Xenopus tropicalis: one gene and its partner. The protein of the gene in region 2 interacts with the protein of the main gene of each other region in a pairwise test. Links are inferred from orthologs where the notes say so. Each region holds a gene or a part of one and is shown on either strand. Other genes may lie near its edges.

Region 1 (4,350 bases), about 99 Mb from region 2:
GCATGTTATGATCATCCTGTAGCCTCTTGCTGTTCTTAGATTACAGTGACCAGCTCTGACCAGAGCGGCACAACAGCTGGGGAAGTTTAGCCCCCAGGACAGTACTCAGCTGCTGAGGGTGGGGAGGGGGGTTTACACACCCAGAGCTGCCTGCATGATACACTTCAATCTCCCAGCACCCCTGGGTGTAGTTCTACAGCAGTGATCCCCAACCAGTGGTTTGTGAGCAACATGTTGCTCCCAGTGGCCTCAAAAGAGGTGCTTATTTTTTAATTTCTGGCTTGGAGGCAAGTTTTGGTTGCATAAAACTCAATGTAAAGCCAAACAGAGCCTCCAATAGGCTTGCCAGTACACATAGGGGCTATTAAGTAGCCAATTATAGCTCTTATTTGCACCCCCAGGAACTTTTTCCAAGCTTGTGTTGCTCTCCAACAATTTTTCCATTTGAATGAGGCTCATGGGTATAAAAGGTTGGGGATCCCTGTTCTACAGCAATGGAACCAACACAAACCTATGACATGCTGCAGCCATATATTGTGGCTATTAAGGGGAACTTTACCTTCCAGTAGGTTATCCAGCAGAAACTAGAAGCTAGCAAAACGCCCCTGGCACGCCCCTGTCACTGCTCATTATGTTATATATCAGGGATCCCCAACCTTTTATACCGGTGAGCCACATTCAAATGGAAAAAGTTTTGGAGAGCAACACAAGCATGGAAAAAGTTTCTGGGTGTACCAATAAGAACTATAATTGGCTATTTGGTAGCCCCTATGTTGACTGGGAGACCACAGAAGGCTCTCTTTGGCAACTGCACTGGGTTTTTATGCAATCAAAGCTTGCCTCCTAACCAGAAATTCAAAAGTTAGCACCTGCTTTGGGGACACTGGGAGCAACATCAAAAGAGTTGGGGAGCAACATGTTGCTCATAAGCCACTAGTTGGGGATCACTGTTATATATAATGGTAAGTGCCCTGGCTGAGCAGTGAATGGGAAAACCTCAATGCAAGCGGAGTAATACAGAGCGGACAGGGGCGTTTTGACAGCCACTTTTTCCCCCCACAGGGCAGCAGAGGTGCCATTGGCCTAATGTTAGGGAGCCAGACTGTGCCATTGGCCTAATGTTAGGGAGCCAGACTGTGCCCATTGGCCTAATGTTAGGGAGCCAGACTGTGCCCATTGGCCTAATGTTAGGGAGCCAGACTGTGCCCATTGGCCTAATGTTAGGGAGCCAGACTGTGCCCATTGGCCTAATGTTAGGGAGCCAGACTGTGCCCATTGGCCTAATGTTAGGGAGCCAGACTGTGCCCATTGGCCTAATGTTAGGGAGCCAGACTGTGCCCATTGGCCTAATGTTAGGGAGCCAGACTGTGCCCATTGGCCTAATGTTAGTGAGCCAGACTGTGCCCATTGGCCTAATGTTATTGAGCCAGACTGTGCCCATTGGCCTAATGTTATTGAGCCAGACTGTGCCCATTGGCCTAATGTTAGGGAGCCAGACTGTGCCCATTGGCCTAATGTTAGGGAGCCAGACTGTGCCCATTGGCATAATGTTAGGGAGCCAGATTGTGCCCATTGGCCTAATGTTATTGAGCCAGACTGTGCCCATTGGCCTAATGTTAGGGAGCCAGACTGTGCCCATTGGCCTAATGTTAGGGAGCCAGACTGTGCCCATTGGCCTAATGTTAGGGAGCCAGACTGTGCCCATTGGCATAATGTTAGGGAGCCAGACTGTGCCCATTGGCCTAATGTTAGGGAGCCAGACTGTGCCCATTGGCCTAATGTTAGGGAGCCAGACTGTGCCCATTGGCCTAATGTTAGGGAGCCAGACTGTGCCCATTGGCATAATGTTATTGAGCCAGACTGTGCCCATTGGCCTAATGTTAGGGAGCCAGACTGTGCCCATTGGCATAATGTTATTGAGCCAGACTGTGCCCATTGGCCTAATGTTATTGAGCCAGACTGTGCCCATTGGCTTAATGTTATTGAGCCAGACTGTGCCCATTGGCCTAATGTTATTGAGCCAGACTGTGCCCATTGGCCTAATGTTATTGAGCCAGACTGTGCCCATTGGCCTAATGTTATTGAGCCAGACTGTGCCCATTGGCCTAATGTTATTGAGCCAGACTGTGCCCATTGGCCTAATGTTAGGGAGCCAGACTGTGCCCATTGGCCTAATGTTATTGAGCCAGACTGTGCCCATTGGCCTAATGTTATTGAGCCAGACTGTGCCCATTGAGCTCAGGGAGGTGCAAGACTGGCTCTCACTAATGCTTTGTCGCATGCTTCCAAGGGACAATCGCTGCGACCTGTGGGCTGCTTACCCTACAGTGCCCCCCAAGCTGAAGCCTACACACGGGTTACCTATTAAGGAAGGCATTGCCGAAGGCGCTCAGCTTCCTGAAGGGTTTCTTGGGGTCAACCACAAGCGCGTTCCCGGGCATGACCCCCTCCACGGGCCCGTGCATGACGGCGATGAATGAGTCGGTGGTGGGTTCGGGCCCGATCCTCATGCCGGGGAAGTCCTGCTCTATGAGGTGGCGGATGAAGGTGGTCTTGCCCGTACTGTACTGCCCCACCAGCAGCACCATGGGGTTGTTATGGAAGTCGGCATCTTCCAGGGCAGGGGAGTGGAAGTCATGAAAGCGGTAAGTCTCCTCCAGAGGCAGCAACTTGTGTGTGTAAAGCTTCCGGAGACCCTCGGACACCGTCTGGAAAAGCTCCGGTTCTTTCTTCCTCCGAGTATCCTTATTCGACCAGCTGAACATGGCGGCTACTGCTGGGGCAACCCTTGTTTCCTACCTACACGGGATGGGATAACGGAGCCGGGACGAGCTCCTCACAGCTGGCCGAGAGACTGAGCTTGGGACCGGGGGCGCGCACTACTGGGCGTGGCGGGGACGCGCGTCCGCTGCTGGGAGGCGTGCATGAGAGGATGGAGCCGTGCCCGCCGGTGGAGTCACACGGGTCAATTCTCTATCCGGGACTTTGGTCCCGTCTCTCTGGCCCGTAACGGGTTTATAGGGCATGGTATGGCGCCTGTCATTGTCTTCTCCCAAGTAAAAGCGAATTTCTCATGAATTGCTGAGTTCAGCTGAGCTATAAAAGTCTCTGTATTCTGTTTAATACAGAAAGAACGGCGTTACAAAAATATACAAATACATTTTGTGTGGTGAAGTAAAGTCTGCCACTAGCATGAATGGCAGCGTAATAAATGTGCGGATGTAAAATTACAAGCACCTTTACTATTAACAGAATGTTTTTGGTTCCAGTTTATAAACTGGTAATATAATACCTTATGTAACAACAGCGCCACCTGCTGGTCAGTTCTTTCAGCTACACAGTCTGGGAAATATATGTTAAAAAAGAAAACTAAGCTGTTCTGATGTTGCTTTGCTCAGAAAGGAGGTCAGAAGCCTCAGAAGAACTTTCTGAAGTCTTTCCTATGAACTATTAACTGGGAAAGGCTTTTGAAGAGCACTGTTAGTTTTATTTAAAGAAAAAACGCCTCAAAAGGACAAGACTTACGCATTCCGTGCCTTGAGGGGCAACTTGAGCCAATGATTAAGTGCCTTTCAAGCTCGGCATGGAATGTGTAAGGCTTGTCCTTGTGAGATTTTTTTCTTTAAATAAAACTATTTTTTACTGCATTATTTCTGCTATTTCGGTCTGTTTTTGTGCCATCCTTGTGTCAGTAAACCTCCCTTAAGCAGAAAGTCTGGTCCCCTACCTGATTTGTTGAGTTCAGCCAAATATAATATAACTGTATTTTCTCTTTTATGTTTTTCTTTCACATCCTTTAAACTTTGCATTTTTTTCTCCTTTTGCAAAACAAAGTCTTTGAAATACCCTAAACAAAGGAAGGTGGAGTTCGCCATAGTTAGAGTGCGGGAAATTATTCAAATTCTTATGTAAACAGGAAAGTCCGACATAAGTAAAGCTTGTCAGAGTCTTGGCATCGCAGACATACAGAGTCCCTAAGCTCTCTCATTGTATAGTGCTGGCATACATTGCCCAGAAAGAGATCGTACAGGGGTATCAAGTCCTTCTTTCATGCTGTTTCCTATATGGAAAATGTTTTTAGAGAGTATGGTGACTAGAACTTTGAAGTCAGTTTCAGACATCTGTTGTTTTATCTGTAATGCTAATTCTAGCTGGTAGTCATGATCTGCTGCTTCCAGCAATGGATGTAAAGTTGCTATGACTTTCAAACTGATGTTTTAGCCACAGTGAATTTGATGAGTTATAGGTTATATAGGAACATATACCAAGGGGACACTGTTATAAGACAATAAAGAGTAAATTTGGGGCTAGGGGAGAAAGGCAAAGACCTAGGGCTAGGCTGTAGGACAT
Region 2 (3,563 bases):
ACAGCTAGCAGTTGCACTATGATAGATTACTATAGGATTACTTACCTGTCGCTCTCTCTGCAGTTTCTGCTCATTCTCTTGCCTCCGCTTCTGTTTAAGCTCCTCGTATATTTCTTTAGTTGGCAAAGACATTAAGCCCAGTAATTTTTCCTGAACAGAAAGAGAAATTAACAAAAAGGATGAGTCAAGAGTCCTTCATGTCAAGTGACTCACTGCCTTTACTGGTCAGACCAGTAAAACAGAAAGTGAGAGTCTCATTACTGCTCTTGATGGAGGTTACAATTAACAGGAATTTGACTGTGCATGGTACTGAGTGAGAATCGTGGAACTGAACTTACCATAAGCATTATATTCCCTAATCTATTTGCCAACTACAATTCAATAACAGTGTTGCACCAGCATCTCATATGCAGAGATTCTAAACAAATAAATGTCAAGGAAGTAAATAAACAAATCATTACCTGAACAAACAAGGTGGCCGAATATCTCACCATCTTCTGTAACTGCTGTGTTTTAGGGTGAGGCTTGGGTTCTTCATTCATTCCAAGGGTGAGAATCTTCTTGCTGGCAAACAATACAAATGATTATATGGGCAATATATAGCAAAGGGCTTTTTCTAAAATGGTGGAGGCCAGCAGGATACTTTTGAAGCAAAAACACATGTTTAGTAAGAATAGTACAGATTTCTTCCACCTATCAAATATTGCTATATTAGAGTTATCTGAGCATAAGCACTCACCACTGGGCTGTGCTTTACACCCTGCAAAAATGAAAATCCAGAGTAAGGTGCCATGCACATGGGCAGAAAGTACAGGGATCCCTGTCCCCAGTCCATCCCAACACACCCTACCTAGGGCATCTCAATGACACACAAGCTAACCACCTACCTTTCCTCTATGTAGTGCTGCCAAAGGAATGCATCATTCCAGTGTTTGGCCACCTTAAGGCATATCATTTGATACACACACAGGATGGCACTGGACAGTATTGGAGTTTTCTCTGCCTGCATTTTTCCACATCACATATACAACACATGCTGTTTACAACACAAAATGAGGACTCTCACCTTAATGCATCTATTAACTCGTAGTATTTTTGCAACTCAACCCGCAGGTTATTGGTATGGTCCAAATTGTAGGTTGTCTCCCCAGCACTGCAGATATAAAAACACAAACAAAGATGCATATTATTTCGGCAAGATAATTACCCCCCTGACTACTGCACAAGCAGCAGATCAGACCTAAGGAATCCGTAGGAAAGACAAGTGTGGGTGTTTAAGATACAGAATGGCCTGTTCTTTTGCGCACTGCTGAAAAAAAAATAAGTAAAAGAATGAAATTACCTCCCGCCCACAGGATAACAGAGTTGTTGATTACATCTACACCTACAGCAAACAAGAACTGTGGGATTAAATGCTTTATTATATAATCTTATACCTGCTCTATACACAACTGAGTGTTACGGCACGCTAGAAAGCTCATATACAATGCCCCACACAGTGTGCAAAGTGTAAAAAATAAAAAAGCTGCAATCAGCCATTTTATTTATTTATTTATTTTTTTGCACTTTGCCCACTAAGTGGGGCATTGAGAGCTAAAAACCCCAGGGTGGGGGGGGGGGAGTGCTAGTAAGTGAGCGCTCTTGCACTTTAACTCTTACACTCACTAATGTATATATTGTGAGACTCCACAGCCAGTGGAGACATACTGACAGGGCAAAATGTGCCTGCATTACTGTACAGAAACACTGTTGCAGTAATGTAAAATACAATACAAATATGCAAGGACAACTAGGAGAGATAAATGAACCTGCCGAGAGCAAGATTTTATTGTGCAATTGTTCAAAAAATCTCCCCCAGAGCTAAATGGGAAATAGACATTTAACAAGAGACAGAGGGCTGCAGGTCAGACATTGTAGATTTAAAAAGGTTTATTGAATTCAAGGCATACACGAGACATGCAAAATATGAAAAAACACACAATGAAAAGCAGCAAAATATTAAATAATGGTGGTTAACTGGGCAACTTGTCCTCCAACCAAAATAGTTTTTCTGCCTACTGAAAGAAAATGAAATTTATAAGTACGTTTCCAATATACATTAAATGATTGTAGTCATTCTATTTGTAAATGTAGTTGCAGTAAAAACAGCATCTGTGTGTTCCTTTATGTTTTCTGGTTCTGACTCTTGAAACTACGTAGTCAATTCTCCTCCAGTAAATCGCTTAGCTTCTACTACATGGCTTCAGAAGTCAGAACCCAAAATGCTAAGAATACAAACATCCAGACAGATATAGTTTTCAATAGCAAATACATTTACAAATGACCAAAAACTGACATTTGTCTCATTAATATACACCCGAAAGCTTGATAGAATTAATTTCCATTGTATTAGGCTACAACCAATTTAAAGATTCCCAAAATCAGGCTTTCATTGCAAAAGTATAACATAGGCCAACTGAGAAAAGCAGTCAATACAGTCCATCTCATTGATATATTGACAGTATATTCTCATACTCACTTGATAGACTGAGCCATTTTGATATACTCGGGCGCTTTCTCATCAACCTTCTCCATACAGCTTCGAAGTTTCTGTAAAGTTAAACACAAATAATGAGGCATTTGCTCTGCTCACCATGGATACACAACAGTATATTATGATACAAAAGTATATTATGATAGGTAATATACCAAGAGCAAGTCTGCCTGCACTAGCATTTAGAGTATAATTCCCATCTGACCCACTGGCTCCCATACTGCACCTGGTAGTACTTTACAATCTCAGGAGTATGCTCTTTCTCATCCAGCTGCTGCTCGCGTTTCAGCAACGTGTCCTTGCAGTGGTGGCAGCAACGTATCTTGTCATCGTCCTTCTCCTCCAGCACGGAGCTCACACTGCTGAGGCTACTGATGCTACCCCTGCGGGATGTCTGGGCACTGCTGCTGGGGGACAAGTTGGGGCTGCCATGTGCAGACAGTGAGTGTTTGCTGGCACTGGTCAGCTTGCCTGTAAATAAAAAATTAATTTTTAATACAATATAGAAAGTAATGTTCTGAGACAAATTTCAAATGGTCTTAATTTTTTATTAAATGTTGTTTATGAATTATTTAGCTTTTTATTCAGCCACTTTCCAGTTTGGCATTTTATCAGCTGGTCAATAGGGTCCTAATTACACTAGCAACTAGGCAGTGGTTTGAATCAGAGATTATACATAGGAGAGGGCCTGAATAGAAATAGAAGTAAAAAAAAAGTAACAACAATGAAATTGTAGCCTCCTGGAGCAATAGTTTTTTGGTTGCTAGGGTCAGCGACCCTCATTTGAACGCTGGAAAGACTCAGGAAAAAAAAGGCATATAATATAAAAAGTATTCAAAATAAAAAATTAAGGCCAACTAAAGAATTGCTAGATATTATCCACTAAATATCATACTAAATGTTCATGTAAAGATGAACTTAATTTCCAGAGGTCAGTGAATATAACTAAGGAAATTAGTATAGGAAGGGTAGAGAGCCAGAGTTTAGGACTAATTGAAATCAGTAGGGTAACTGCATGCAACAGGAGTGG

The links.
Region 1: the proteins of rbsn (region 2) and ehd1 interact in binary tests that used the Homo sapiens proteins (3 or more experiments, as listed by UniProt). The link is inferred for Xenopus tropicalis from reciprocal best matches to the Homo sapiens genes RBSN and EHD1.

Annotation. Positions count from the first base shown.
Region 1 is NC_030680.2:32,912,343-32,916,692, reverse strand, and holds the start of ehd1 (EH domain-containing protein 1), read right to left. Parts: upstream 2,841-4,350; 5' UTR 2,766-2,840; coding exon 2,362-2,765; intron 1-2,361. UniProt on the Homo sapiens protein: ATP- and membrane-binding protein that controls membrane reorganization/tubulation upon ATP hydrolysis. In vitro causes vesiculation of endocytic membranes. Acts in early endocytic membrane fusion and membrane trafficking of recycling endosomes.
Region 2 is NC_030680.2:132,265,148-132,268,710, reverse strand, and holds part of rbsn (rabenosyn-5), read right to left. Parts: intron 3,005-3,563; coding exon 2,760-3,004; intron 2,590-2,759; coding exon 2,519-2,589; intron 1,154-2,518; coding exon 1,067-1,153; intron 565-1,066; coding exon 462-564; intron 151-461; coding exon 46-150; intron 1-45. UniProt on the Homo sapiens protein: Rab4/Rab5 effector protein acting in early endocytic membrane fusion and membrane trafficking of recycling endosomes. Required for endosome fusion either homotypically or with clathrin coated vesicles.